Linked DNA regions of Sus scrofa. The protein of the gene in region 2 interacts with the protein of the main gene of each other region in a biochemical or structural test. Links are inferred from orthologs where the notes say so. Each region holds a gene or a part of one and is shown on either strand. Other genes may lie near its edges.

Region 1 (7,306 bases), on a different chromosome or scaffold from region 2:
AATTTGGTAATGAAGGACATTTTGGCTCTTTCAGGAAAAAAAAAAGGGGTCAACATCCTTCTTCAACTAATGAGACCCTGAAGTTCCCTTGTGGTGTAGTGGGTTAAGGATCCAGCATTGTCACTGCAGTGGCTCTGGTTGCTGCTGTGGCGTGGGTTGGATCCCTCGCCACAGGCACAGCTAAAAATAATTTAAAAATAAAAAATGAGGCCATGCCACCTTTAAGGATATTGAAAAAAATATGTAAGGCTCTGAAGGCAGTTCAACAGCTGTGTGTGCACTGTTAGAATGTTAAGGCCTACCAGGCTGACTACGTGGAGTGTACTGTTCCCACTTGAGTGTCGTACAAGTTCTACAGGGAGGGGGTGGGGGGCAGGGGTCTGCCTAATTGCTTTGGTCTACAGATACAACTCTGAGGTTTATCGTTCTATTTCAGGTGTCTTCATCTTTCTCACTTGCAACCCAAGCCCTCGAGGACAGACTGCCAAAAAAGCCTTTAAAAACAGGGAGGCTTGGGAGTTCTCTGGTGGCCTAGTTGCTAAGGATCCGGTGTTGTCACTGCTGTGGCTTGGGTTCAGTCCCCAGCCCGGGAACTTTTTTTTTTTCTTAAATACATACTGTTGTGGGATTCTCCCCCACTTTTTAATTCTTAAAACATGTTTAAATTTTTTACTTATTTTTCTTTTTACAGCTGCACATATGGCATGTGGAGGTTCCCAGGCTAGAAGCTGAATCGGACCCAGCCTACACCACAGCCGCAGCAACACTGGATCCTTGACCCATTGAGCAAGGCCAGGGATTGAACCCACATCCTCACAGACACTATATTGGGTTTTTAACCTACTGAGTCACAACAGGAACTCCAAGGCCCATGAAATTTTACCTGCCAAGTTTTGCAGCCAAAACAACAGCAACCGCCAAAAGCAAAAACAAAAAAACCCCCCAAAAACCCGAGGGAGGCTCATGGGCATCAGCGGGGTTTGGGATGCTCTACATCAGAGTCCGGCCAAAGCCCTTAAGGCACACAGTGTGGAATGTTCTAAACACTTTAAAAGGAAGCTCAGGTCAATATAGAAAAAGGCCCATTATACTTCCCTCACTGCCTTCATGTCAAGTTATGTTAACCTATAACATAGAGACAATGTGACTAAGGCACAGGGATGCTGGCTTCAGTGCCCAGTCCACCTCCCCCTCTTCCCGGCACTGTCTGTACAGCAGCCAGACCTGGGAGCTGCCTCAGGTAAGCTTCCTGGGCACAGGCTCTATTTGTCTAACTGAACAGGGTGCTAGGGACACCTGTAATCCTACCTGCTTACCTCTGATTAACCTTAGCCAGGTACGGGGCTTAGGTATGACCCAAACAACAACCCCGGTAGCCTTGGGGTCGAATGCCCAGTAAGAGACTGGGAACATGGTAGTTGGTGGGGGAAGGGTGGAGGAAAATTTCTGACCCACTCAAAGGTTCTGCTGGTTTATGGTGTTACTGGAGATTTTTAAGACCCCACAGACTCAAATATTCACCTGTGACACTCCCTTAGGTCACTTTCTCTCAAGTTCTCCAGACCACCTAACTTCAGATCAGGGGCTCAGCCTAGGGAGGGTAAATGACCATGAAAAGCAAACTGAACTCAGAGGAATGGAGATGGTTCAAATAATTTGCTCTCCTTTTCCTCTAGGGACAAACACTGCAGTGCCCTTTCTAGCAAGAGTGACCAGTGGACACTCACTCCAAAAGCTTTTTTTTTGGCCTTTTCTTTGCAGAAGTTTCCGGGCTAGGGATTGAAGCCAAGCCACAGCAGTGACCTGAGCCACAGCAGTGACAATGCTGGATCCTTAACATGCTGAGCCACCAAGGAACTCCTCCAAAAAGCTCTTGACACACCCCCACCCTCTGTCAAAAACCTGGATCTGCAGACCCTTCTGTAAAGAAGAATGCTAAGTCCAACCTCAAGAATTTACCTGAATAGAAGCATCACTTTGTGTCAAACCCCAGAGGTCTGAAAGGGTGAGGGTTGTCATATTCGTCACTCACTCCTGAGTACTCAGAGCTTGGTACTTACACCAATGGCTGGGAGCTAGTTAGAAATGCTGGATCTCAGGCCTTACCCCCTCAACTGAAGAATCAGAATCTGCTATGAAATGAGGCCCCAGGTCATTCACATGCACATTGAAGACTGAGAAACAGCACCCCAGATGGAAGCAGAAGCGGGGTAGGAATGACCTTTTTTCATGAGGTCAAGTTCCTCTATGGGCAGGGCAAAGGGGTGGGCTGAAGTGGGCTTTGGAGTTAGACCCCACACTTTGGCTGAGGCAGAGGCAAGCCTGGGTTCTCCGGATTATGGACTATGGGCTGTGCCTCCCCAGCTGGACATCTCAGACAAGAAAAAAGCTGGCTTCAGGCTCCGGGCACTGCTGGCTTCCTTCCAGTTGGCTGCCAAAATGAAGCTACCGATGCAGAAGCGCCTTTCCCTCTTTCTCAACCAGAGATCTTCAAAAGGAGGGAGGGTGGCTGAGGTCTGCCCCCAACTCCCATTCCCCAGTCCAAAGTGAGAAGTGGGTGGGAGTTCCCTGTAAACAGCACCCCTGGCTATTGGTCCCAATTTGATCCACCCCCACCTAGCAACAAAGGTACAAAACAGGGCTACCTGAGCCATCAGGCTGCCTGAGTGCCCACCCTGAACAGATCAAGCAGGGGTTCACACTCTCACTTGAAGGAGCCCCCAAATTGTCCAAATAGGTCCCAAGAGACACAGAAAAAGCAGAACAGCACAGACTACATAAGGTCTAGCTTGGACAGACAATTTGAGTCAAGAGTGGCAAATAGGATCGCTGGGCATTTGTCCTTGAATCATTTTTAATAGACGAGACAGAATTTCTCCCCTCTATGCTTGGCTGCTATTTCTTGTTCAATGTGGGAAAATGGTATGACATGGGACAGTGGACACGTTTTTCCAAATTGGGGCCTGGGTGCCAGTTCTGGCCTATAAGGCAGCTCGGTTGCACAAGAACATCTAAGATCCTTAAAAGTTCTAACGTTGTGTGTTTTGGATCAAACAGCCCAGGGCTCGGATCTGGCTGCGCTCGCTGGTGGTGGGACAGCTGCTTGAGAAAATAAGCATGTGGCCCCGACGCTGGCAGGCGGCTAGGCTGCAGCTCCGCCCGCGGCCGCCCGCACCCGTGTTTCTCAGCGAAGCGCCAGGATCGGTGGAGTTTTTCGAGTAGTTTGGGAAGCAGCGGTGGAAGCGGGTGTAGGGGAGGGAAGAAGGGCAGAAACGGGTGAGCGCAGTGCGAGAACGAAAGAGAAGTGGTGAGCCACGAGGATTTCATCATGCAAACGCGCCGGCAGGTTTCATCAGCGCCCATACGCCAGGGCTCCGGAGCTGGCAGGGAATGCCAGGCTCCCGAGCGCAGCCCAAGGCTGCCCCCGCCCCGCGCCAGCTCAGCTTCCTCTTCCTCATCAACTCTCTGGGAGGTCACACGGCCCCCCTCCCCCCCGGAGAGAAGAACGTGTTTTTCTGCACAGCGTTGCCCGCGGCCCCGGGTTCCTTCGCGGAGATCCTCAAGCCTAAAAGGGCAATTTGTTCCAGAAGCCGCCGAGGCTCCAAAGCTGGGGGTGCCCCGGGAAGGAAAACGGTCTCTGCCAAGAGCCATTCACCCCAACAGAGAGCGCCCATCCCGACCCCTAAAAACCTCAGGCCAGCCCTCTCCGTGGTTGGGAGGCCAACCTGACCCCACCCTATTCAGCCTCAGAACAGCCCCCAACACCCACAAGGGGCAGCACACCTCGGCCTATGGCAGTCCTGGAAGCGAGCGCTTGTTTTTGGCGGGGGGAATCAGCTGTCTCTCCCAGAAAGAAGGAGCTATAAGGTGGCATTTGCAGCCGCGGCTCTGGAGCACGCACCCCTAGGGCAGGCAATGGAAGGCGCCCCCCGCGCCCCCCTGTCGTTCCAGGTGGCCACCTCCGTGCCCCTCACAGCCACCCTCGTGCCCCTTATCCGTTCTTTCCAGTCACCACGCCCCGAAGCCCTGTCGCCCCGTCCAACTGGAGTTCCCTATCCCTCCCCCTGGCCAGTCAGTCCTTCCCAGCGTCCGCACCCAGAGACCCCGAGCGGCGCCCCCGGGCCCGCGCCTACCTCCTGGGGTGGTGCTGAAGAGCGTGCCGCCGGGAGTGGTGCTGTAGTCCCCGGGCGGCAGCTGCACGCCATCGCCGAGGACCACCCGGCGAGTGGTGGGGATTGCCCGGCTTGGGGTCTGGCTGCAGCTGCTGCCGCTGGACATGGTCTCCCGCGCGAGGAGCCCGGACCCAGAGCGTGGCCCTGGCGCCCCTCTGGCCTCGCTCTGCCTCGCTCGGGCCCGCCCCGCCCGAGACCGCCCCTTCCGCCGCCTGGGCTGCCACCCCCTGGGATTTGTAGTTCCCGCTGCGCTGCCGCCCCGCCCACCGCCCGGGGGCTGCGGGCACAGGAGTCCTCTTCCGCGCTGGGTCCCGGGCACCCCACAGACGGGCTCCTGAGCGTAGTTGCTAGCGCCGCTCCCCTATTCCTTTCCGCCTCCTAGCTGCCCCGCCGCTAATCCCTTCGGGTCCCCGAGAGCCACGCGGGCAGGAACCGGTGGATGGGAAGGAAGATTCCGAGGCTTGCCTGTGTTAATGCCTTTCTAGCTCGGACTGCGCTGGGGTCCCAGCGGACCCAGCCCACTCTGGAAAGGCTAGCTGCAACACTGGGACATCAGGCGAGAAGGTCCCCTGCCTCCGAAAGCCTTCCGTGTTCCGTGCTCTATTTCCTCAGATGAGAAAGCGAGGATTGGTTGGTCATTCATCAATTTATTGAACATTCACGATGTGGCAGTCGTGGAAGAAATGTAGAATTAGGATCTGGGGACAAAACATCAAGCTGGGTGATGAGGGCTAAACCCGGAGCGAGGAGGCTGGGAGGGAGTGGACGTCGGTGGTGGTGGGGAAATATTGGTCAAAGAAGGTTATTTGCAGCCCTTTGAGTTGGGTCAGTGGATCCTGACCCCCACGCTGCCCGAAGTTTGGCAGGAGCTCTTTATTATTATTTATTATTTATTTTTTTAATCTTTTCGCCATTTTCTTGGGCCGCTCCCGCGGCACATGGAGGTTCCCAGGCTAGGGGTCTAATCGGAGCTGTAGCCACCGGCCTACACCACAGCCATAGCAACGCGAGATCCGAGCTGCGTCTACAACCTACACCACAGCTCACGGCAGCGCCGGATCCTTAACCCACTGAGCAAGGCCAGGGATCGAACCCTCAACCTCATGGTTCCTAGTCAGATTCGTTAACCACTGTGCCACGACGGGAACTCGCCTGAACTCACTTGAACTCCCCTGGCAGGAGCTCTTTAAATGAACGCAGGAACAAACGAAGGAATATTCAAGTGGAGGACAAAAAAACCTGTGGTGGCCACATCCGGGAAGAGTAGAGAGAGAAAAGTTTAAAAGAGAAATCCAGGGAATTCCCTTTTGGCAGAAGTGGTTAAGGGTCAGGCATTGTCACCGTAGCAGTGACTCAGGTCACTGTTGTGGTACCGGTTCCATCCCTTGCCTGGGAACTTCCACATGCTGGGTGGCAGGAAAGAAAGAAAGGATGGAGGAAGGAAGGAAGAAAGGAAGGAGGGAGGGAAGGAGGAAGGAAGGAGAGAGAGAGAAGAAAGAAAGAAAGAGGAGTGTCCGGAGTTCCCTCGAGCTCCCCTTGTGGCACAGGGGAAATGAATCTGAAGAGGAACCATGAGGTTGTTAATTCTATCCCTGGGCTCGCTCAGTGGGTTAAGGATGTGACATTGCCATGAGTTGTGGTGTAGGTCGCAGACTCGACTGGGATCTGGCATTACAGTGGCTGTAGCTCCCATTCAACCCCTAACCTGGGAACCTCTATATGCCAGGAAGTGCAGCCGTAAAAATAAAAAAAAAAGAAAAAGAAAAAAGAAAGAGGAGTTCCTGTTGTGGCTCATCGGTAAGGAACCCGACTAATATCCATGAGGATGCAGGTTCAATCCCTGACACCAGATTGCTGTGGCTATGGCGTAGGCTAGCAGCTGCAGCTCCAATTCCACCCCTAGCCTGGGAACTTGTGGCCCTTAAAACAAAGAAAGAAAAGGGAAATAGAGCTGACTTGTGAAAAAGCTTTTAAATCAGGCCAGGGTGTTTAGACTTGGTCATCCAAGGCGGTAGCTATCAGAGAGAGATCTTTTAAGCAGGGGGGTGATTATCTTTAAGAGAGGTAACTCTTAGCCATAGATTTTGAGAATGGACTACTGGAGGGTGAGGCTGGAGATAGAGAGACCGGTTAGATTTGGTCATTCCTGAGCTAAATTGTAGGCCTATGCTGTCCGGCATGGTAGCCACGGCCACTGAGCGCTTGGAGTGTAGTTAGTCCACAATCACAAGTGTAAAGTACATACCAGATTTCAAAGACTTAGTGTGGAAAAAAACATAAAATATTTCAATAACTTGTTTTGTACCAATTATACGATGAAGTAATATTTTGTGTATATTGGGTTAAGTAAAATCTATCATTAAAATTTAATTTCATCTGCTTCTCTTTACCTTTTCGGCAGTACTGTAAGAAATTTATAGACTGTAGAATCATCCAATTTTGGCTCTGGCCACGTACATTACTGGTCATCCAGGACAATACTTACCTCCATCTTACTGAAAAACAAAACAAAACAAAAAAACCCCAGAAGCCCAGGAGGAACAGCGGTTTGCCCAAGATCACACAGCTGGAAAATGCCTGAGATAGGACTAGGACCCAGTCTTGCCTCCTTCCCTAGCCAGCCCTTTTTTCACCACATAAGGAAACAAAGTGGCCCATCCACCACACCTCCTTGGTAGGACTGTTTTGAAAAGATTTATTCTGTTGTCAGACCTGATTGTTTGGTTAGAGCTGAAATTCTAGGGAAAGGGCAGTTTAGAACACTTCACATTCACCATGACCTCTGAACGGAGGGCTGCACAGAGGCAAAGCAAGTCTGAAGGCTGCAGGGGAGCCAAAGGTGGGGGCTGGCTAGACCTGGGGCCCCTCATGGGTACAGGAGGATCACTAGCCTGGGCCGAGGGGTATGGTCTTTGACAGACTCCCTCCTGAATTCTGTTTCCTGGCCAGACATTTCACCTATGGCAATTTCCGCCTCGTTATGGAGCAGGGACAGAGCAGGAGGCATTCGCATCAAGTCTTGTAATTAAATATCAGCTCTTATAGGGCAGGGACTGTGGGTTTACTCACACGCTCACCTTTTCACAAAATTAAAAAAAATTTTTTAAATTGAAGTATAGTTGATTTACAATGTT
Region 2 (7,125 bases):
GAAGTTCCATATGCCGTGGGTATAGCCTTAAAAAGACCAAAAAAAAAAAAAAAAGTGCAGAACAGTGTATATAGTATACAGTGTGTGTAAGAGGGAAATGAGAGCAGTTCCTGTTGTGGCTTAGTGGTCAGCGAACCTGACTAGCATCTATGAAGATGGCCCAGTTTCGATCCCGGGCCTCCATCAGTGGGTTAAAGATCCAGTGTTGCTGTGAGCTGTGGTGTAGGTTGCAGATGTGGCTCGGATCCTGCATTGCTGTGGCTGTGGAATAGGCCGGCAACTGTAGCTCTGATTGGACCCCTAGCCTGGGAACCTCCATATGCCACAGGTTCAGGCCTAAAAAATGACAAAAGACAAAAAAAAAAAAAAAAAAAAAAAAAAGAGAGAGAGAGAGAGGGAAATAATATATATTTACATTTGTTTTGTATTTACATGAAAAGAAACTCTAGGGATACATCAGAACTAAGAAAATAAGCAGTGAAGGGGCAGGAAAGGAGCAAGACTTTTCATGATAAATGTAATTTTTATTTGTTTTGAGATTTGAACAGTGAATGCATTACATATTCAAACATGTTTAATGATTAAATATAAAGATGTTGAACATAAGTGAAAAATGTGAAATTCAGAGGAACAATTATTTCACAGAAGAATCAATGTAATGAAAAAATTCTAAACCTAAAGCCATAATCACCTCCCCCCCCCCCCGGGATGGAACCTATACTTCCACAGAGACCCTAGCCACTGCAGTTGGATTCTTAATCACTACACCACAGCAGGAACTCCAATCATAACTTTTTTTTCCTTTTAAATCTGCCAAAGCATTTTGTTAGCCACAGAGTATTACCAAACCTCATTTAGATTTAAGACTCCTGGAAACTTACACTTCATCAACTATTTTTTTTCTTAAACCACACAAGTAGGGTGCTATGTATAAAGTTAGTGTATGTATAGTGTATTAAAAAAGGAGTTCCCATCGTGGCTCAGTGGAAATGAATCTGACTTGAATCCATGAAGATGCCTTGCTCAGTGGGTTAGGGATCCTGAGTTTCAGGAGCTGTGATGTAGGTCGCAGATGCAGCTCAGATATGGCGTTGCTGTAGCTGTAGCATAGGCCAGTGGCTACAGCTCTGATTCACCCCCTAGCCTGGGAAACTTCATATGCCATGTGGCCCTAAAAAGATTAAAAAAGAAAGAAAGAGAGAGAGAGGGAGGGAGGGAGGGAGGGAGGGAGCGAGAAAGAGAGAGAGAAAGAAAAAAGCATGCCTTTCCCAAATCCCATTACCTCTTAGCGGTATATTTTCCCTTTGTGAACATAGACACATAAGAAATATACAACTTGGAGTTCCCGTCGTGGCGCAGTGGTTAACGAATCCGACTAAGAACCATGAGGTTGCGGGTTCGGTCCCTGCCCTTGCTCAGTGGGTTAACGATCCAGCGTTGCCGTGAGCTGTGGTGTAGGTTGCAGAAGCGGCTCGGATCCCGAGTTGCGGTGGCTCTGGCGTAGGCCAGTGGCTACAGCTCCAATTTAACCCCTAGCCTGGGAACCTCCATATGCCTCGGGAGCGGCCCAAGAAATAGCAACAACAACAAAACAACAACAAAAAAGACAAAAGACAAAAAAAAAAAAAAAAAAAGAAATATACAACTTGTAAAAGGTTATATTAGACTTAAATTTTATAACCTGAATTTTTTTTAGCAGACTGTGAACCCTTTACTTTTTTAGCAAATATTCATCTAGATTGTGATTATTAATGCCTATGTGAGGTTTCGGTAATAGGAATGCATATTTTATTTAATCGGATTCCTATTATAAGATACAGGAATTTTTAAAGTTTATTGCAATAGACCATGCTTTAAAAAAAAAAAAATGAGATGTCAAATTTATTTTTGCTATTTTTTTTTTGTTTTGTTTTGTTTTTTTGCTTTGAAGGACCACATATGGAGGTTCCCAGTCTAGGGGTTAAGCAGAGCTACAGCGCCAGCCTATGCCACAGCCACACCAGATCCGAGCCATGTCTGGAACCTACACCACAGCTCACGGCAATGCCAGATCCTTAACCCACCGAGCGAGGCCAGGGATCGAACCCGCAACCTCATGGTTCCCAGACGTATTCGTTTCCATTGCAGCCACAAGGGGAACTCCTGCTATTGATTTTAGAAAGCTTTTTTTTTTTTTTTTTTTTTTTTTTTTTTTTTTTGTCTTTTTGCCATTTCTTGGGCCACTCCCCAGGCTAGGGGTCCAATCGGAGCTGTAGCCACCGGCCTACGCCAGAGCCACAGCAACGCGGGATCCGAGCCGCGTGTGTGGCCTACACCACAGCTCATGGCAACGACGGATCGTTAACCCACTGAGCAAGGGCAGGGATCGAACCCGCAACCTCATGGTTCCTAGTAGGATTCGTTAACCACTGCGCCACGACGGGAACTCCTAGAAAGCATGTTTTTAAAATGATCCTGCTTTGAAATTATTTATGAGTAACCCATTTAGCTAAAACTTGTCTATGGTTTCTTGCGAAAGATCTTACGACCTAGGTAATTTTGGAAAAGTGGGGAAATCCAAAAGCGCTTTCAAATGCGTATTTAACAAAAGAGAAATCACGAGTGCACAAGAAATGCTAGTCAGAAACTTCCACGTCTTTTACTCTAGTAACTATAGTGCGCAGGCATCGCTAAACTTTGATCTTGAAGATTAAACGCGGCGGGTTCTCGAGCCACGGTCTACTGCCTCGTGGTCCCAATCCCGCGGTACCCAGGCGGCGGACTCGGCGTGGCCACAGCCCAGGTGCTGAGGGGAAATATACTAGCGATGCACCGGATGTGTGCGTGGAAGTGACTGAAGTCAACTCACCAGCGATTGGTTTTTTCGAGAGGATCTAAGCTTTATTTCGCCTGCCACTGGCCACAGGGTTTGTCTATTTGAATAGTCTCCGCCCCGCGGAGAAGCCGGGTCCTGAAGCTTCACTTCTCCTTCATTACTATTGGTCTCCATTCCAGTCCATCTTCTTCTTGCGCCCATCGATTGGTCCTTTGTGTTGGGAGACTGCCCTCCCTCCCGCCCGGCTTAGAGGACAGCGGGGAAGGCGGGTGGTGGGGCTGGGGGCCTGAAGCAGTGGAACCGGCGCTGGTGGCGGCAGCTGAGCCCTCGGCCGAAGCCGCGCGGTGAGTCTGGGGCCTGGCACCGACCCCTCCAAGGCGGTGGAATGTCCAGACCCACGGCCAACCTGGTCCGTGGGGGGACCCCCAGGAAGTCGTGCGTTTGAGACGTGGGGTCCCCTCAGTACTGGCCCAAAGGACTTGGGCGCCGCCGGAGCCCTTGACCCCCGCGAGGCAACGCCCACCTCCTCCCGGATCCCCAGGAAACCCCCGGACCCTTTAGCTCACGCTATGTCTCTGGCGCCGTGAAGGCGGGCCCATGAGCTCCTGTATTGCTGGGGAGCATTTGGGTCGCCTTGCGCATCAGTCACCCCTATGAGCCACCTACCGATTGGCCTCCGAGAGGACCAGCGTCAGTGTCAGCCCCTTTAGCTCCACCGTGGAGACCTCTCAAGCACCCATTTCGCAGAGCTGAGCTGGGTTCCATCCCTGAGCTTCATCTCCTCTGCTTCCCCCGCCCCCATCCCTAGTTTCAGCCACCTGACGTTAACTTGTGTAAGCCCTCGCCAAGACCCTTAAGATAGATATTTCACTCCTAGTATTTTGACTTCTGCCTGGAGGCCTTAGACCTTATTAAGATATACTGGTTCCTTCCTTCGACTGGAAATTCTTTGCCAGCCTCCCTCCCCCTCGTCATAGACAAGCACCACACACTCTGTAGTAGTTTTCCCATTTGGAGCCCTTGGGTTTCCTCTCTCCTGAAGTTTGACACTTCCTTCTGCAGTCTTTGCACCCTTTCAGAACCAATTAGTCCCTGGTTTTTTTGTTTGTTTGTTTGTTTTTTCCTGCATTTCACAAATTCTTTCAAAAACAAGAATTTTGAAAATTTGATTTTCTAATATAATCAGGACATACCCTAGGATAGGTGTATATGTTACGGCCGTCGCAGTCTGGGCCGAGTTCTGTTATGGCCACTTTATTGTGGTTGCCGGATTGTCTGTACTTCCTCCTAGACTGTAAGCTTGCTGAGGGGAGGGGCAATACATAATTGTGGAACAAATGCCTGATCTCAGGAACTAATTAGTCTTTTTTTAGCTTACATTCCAAGTACTAGTCTTTATGGAACTGCGCTGTCCAATACAACAACCACAGGTGGCTTAGAGCACTTGAAAATGTTGAAATTGCTAAGTTGAAATTGCAGTAAGTGGAGTTTCCATTGGGGCGCAGCAGAAATGAATCCGACTAGTATCCATGAGGATGTAGGTTCGATCCCTGGCCTCACTCATTGGGTCAGGGATCCTATGTTGCCATGAGCTGTGGTGTAGGTGACACACACGGCTAGGATCCCATGTTGCTATGGCTGTGGTGTAGGCCGGTAGCCATAGTCTGATTTGACCCGAGCCTGGGAACTTTCATATGACGCAGGTGCAGCCCTAAAAAAAAAAAAAAGAAATTGCCGTAAGTGAATATATCAGTAATTTGGGGGGGAGGGAGGCAGTGGGCTGTGCCCACATCAAGCATCAGTTCCCGGGCCGGGGATCGAACGTGCGCTACAGCTGTGACAGTGCTGGATGTGTAACTGCTAGGCCACCAGGGAACACCTGTCATAACTTTTTATATTGTGACATGTTGAAATGATATTTGGATATATTGGAGTAAATAAAATAACTAATTTTGCCTGTATCTTTTGACCTTTGCTATGTGGTTACTAGGAACTTTAAAGTTACATTTGTAGCTCGTATTTCTGTCAGACCCGTGCTGCTATAGAATAACAATCAGTTTCCCTCTCTAAAGTGAATTTGAGGAGAGGGGCAGTCTTAGGCTTGCTTTGTTTTCTCTCACGCTCCCCATCTCTGCTACCTGGCTCTGTGCAACGTACAGAGTAGTAGTAATAATAATAATATTAACCCAGCAACTATTGCAAACTCACTGTGTGCCCAGCACTATGTTAAGCACTTTTTAACATGTATTAGCTCGTTTAATCTTCACATCAGTCCTCTGAGTTAGGTACTCTTATCCTCCGATTATAACTAAGATATTTGAAGTGTCTTCCTTGAGGTATATAATTTTGGACTGGATTCACACCCAGGTAGTCTGGCTGCACAGCCCATAGCATAATTTGACCTTCTCTGCTCTGCTGCCTCTTTCAACACCCGTGGTTATCAAATGAATTGAGGCTTTCTGCATGCTTTTCATTGGGGTCTCCCAGCCTTTTTAGGATCCCCAGCCTGATGTGGATGAGTGGAGGCCTGTGGGGGGAGGTGGGGCCATAGATTAGTTCACCGCCATGGTTTGTTATCCAGAATATTAAAGCCAGCTTCTCTCCAAAGAACCTCAGGGCAAAATGCTTGGAACCGGACCTGCCGCCGCCACCACAGCGACCACCACTTCCAGCAACGTGAGCGTCCTGCAGCAGTTTGCCAGTGGCCTGAAGAGCCGGAATGAGGAGACCAGGGCCAAAGCTGCCAAGGAACTCCAGCACTATGTCACCATGGAGCTCCGAGAGGTTGGAGCTGCTGCGGTTTGGGGCCCTTCATCATGGCCTTTTGGGGCTGCATGTGCCATTCCTGGTTTAGATGCCTCTTGACAGCTGATTGAGGGCTCAGAAAAGGCAAAGATTCTAGTTTAGAAAGGCACCCAATTTCTCAGGTCTGTAGAATGGGCAGGTTCCTTTGCCACAGTTCCACATTTCTGTGGCATTTCCTTTCTTGTGATAGTTTAGGAGTCAGAGTAGAATTGGCTGTTCCGGGAGTTCCTGTCATGGTGCAGCGGAAACGAATCCGACTAGGAACCATGAAGTTGCGGGTTCGATCCCTGGCCTCACTCAGTGGGTTAAGGAACCACGTTGCCATGAGCTGTGGTGTAGGTGGCAGACATGGCTCGGATCTGGCGTTGCTGTGGCTGTGGTGTAGGCAGCGGTTACAGCACTGGTTCAACCCCCAGCCTGGAAACTTCGTATGCCTCAGGTGTGGCCCTAAAAAGACAAAAAAAAAAAAAAAAAAAAAAAAGAAAGAAAGAAAGAAAGAAAGAAAAAGAATCGGCTGTTTCTTTTAATTTTTTTCTTTTTCATGCCACATTCCAGGCTTTTGAATCTTTCTGCCTGATAACATGGGTTGGGATGGGTTTGAAGAGTTGATTGCTTGGGGCTTTTCAAATAGAGGCCAGACCTGAGGTAGGGACAGTGTCTTTTTTGGCCTTGTACCCAGGCTACCAGGTAGAATCTAGGACAGGACATGGCCTCCCCTTGAGTAGATACACAGTAGGTATTGGTTAAGTAAACAGATGATTGCTCTACGGTTTAAAACAACAGAGATGGTCAGCGGCTGTGTCGTCTTCGGTTAACTGCACCTGCTGGCCACCTCTTGGGTTCTGGTCTTCGAAAGGCACCCCACGCCCCCACCAGCAGGGAACATTAGACATTGCCCTGAATACGTCTTCCTTTACAGATGAGTCAAGAGGAGTCTACTCGTTTCTATGATCAGCTGAACCATCACATTTTTGAACTGGTTTCCAGCTCAGATGCCAATGAGAGGAAAGGCGGCATCTTGGCCATAGGTAAGGACAGGGTCTCTGGCACAGTAAGAACTGGACATCCAGGACTGTGTCCTTTGTGTCCACTGCACTCCGTGTCTACTACTTACTGGATCCTCACTTCATATTTGTTTAATGAATTCTAAGGAGACTTGTGGCTTTCAGTTGCTTATTCGGCTATTAATTTTAACCACAGTCCTGGGCAAACCCAAGGGCAAAGAGGGTTTTTTTCAGACATGGAGCCTCAGAACCACTAAGCGACTTTTCCAGGGCTGGTGCGCCAGAGCTGAGGCTGGAAGTCAGCTTTCTTCCTGCTACCCTTGTTGCATTTTGCAGGCTCTTGTTTCTCTCTAGAGCCAAGTTTGGCAGAGCAGAGCTCAGAAATGGAAAAGTAGAGTTGAGGGGACTGTGAATAAAAGGCAGATAATTTCAGCTCATGGGGACTGGTTATCCATCCTGTGAATTATTATTCAGTCCTGGTTTGTTTTCCTTTTCTTCTTG

The links.
Region 1: of the proteins of MTOR (region 2) and EIF4EBP1, one has a biochemical effect on the other in vitro, tested with the Homo sapiens proteins (29 studies listed by BioGRID and IntAct, with this or other methods). The link is inferred for Sus scrofa from reciprocal best matches to the Homo sapiens genes MTOR and EIF4EBP1.

What each region holds. Positions count from the first base shown.
Region 1 is NC_010457.5:48,439,060-48,446,365, forward strand, and holds the start of EIF4EBP1 (eukaryotic translation initiation factor 4E-binding protein 1), read right to left. Parts: upstream 4,315-7,306; 5' UTR 4,279-4,314; coding exon 4,134-4,278; intron 1-4,133. UniProt on the Homo sapiens protein: Repressor of translation initiation that regulates EIF4E activity by preventing its assembly into the eIF4F complex: hypophosphorylated form competes with EIF4G1/EIF4G3 and strongly binds to EIF4E, leading to repress translation.
Region 2 is NC_010448.4:71,408,815-71,415,939, reverse strand, and holds the start of MTOR (serine/threonine-protein kinase mTOR), read left to right. Parts: upstream 1-3,026; 5' UTR 3,027-3,159; intron 3,160-5,423; 5' UTR 5,424-5,437; coding exon 5,438-5,599; intron 5,600-6,539; coding exon 6,540-6,648; intron 6,649-7,125. UniProt on the Homo sapiens protein: Serine/threonine protein kinase which is a central regulator of cellular metabolism, growth and survival in response to hormones, growth factors, nutrients, energy and stress signals.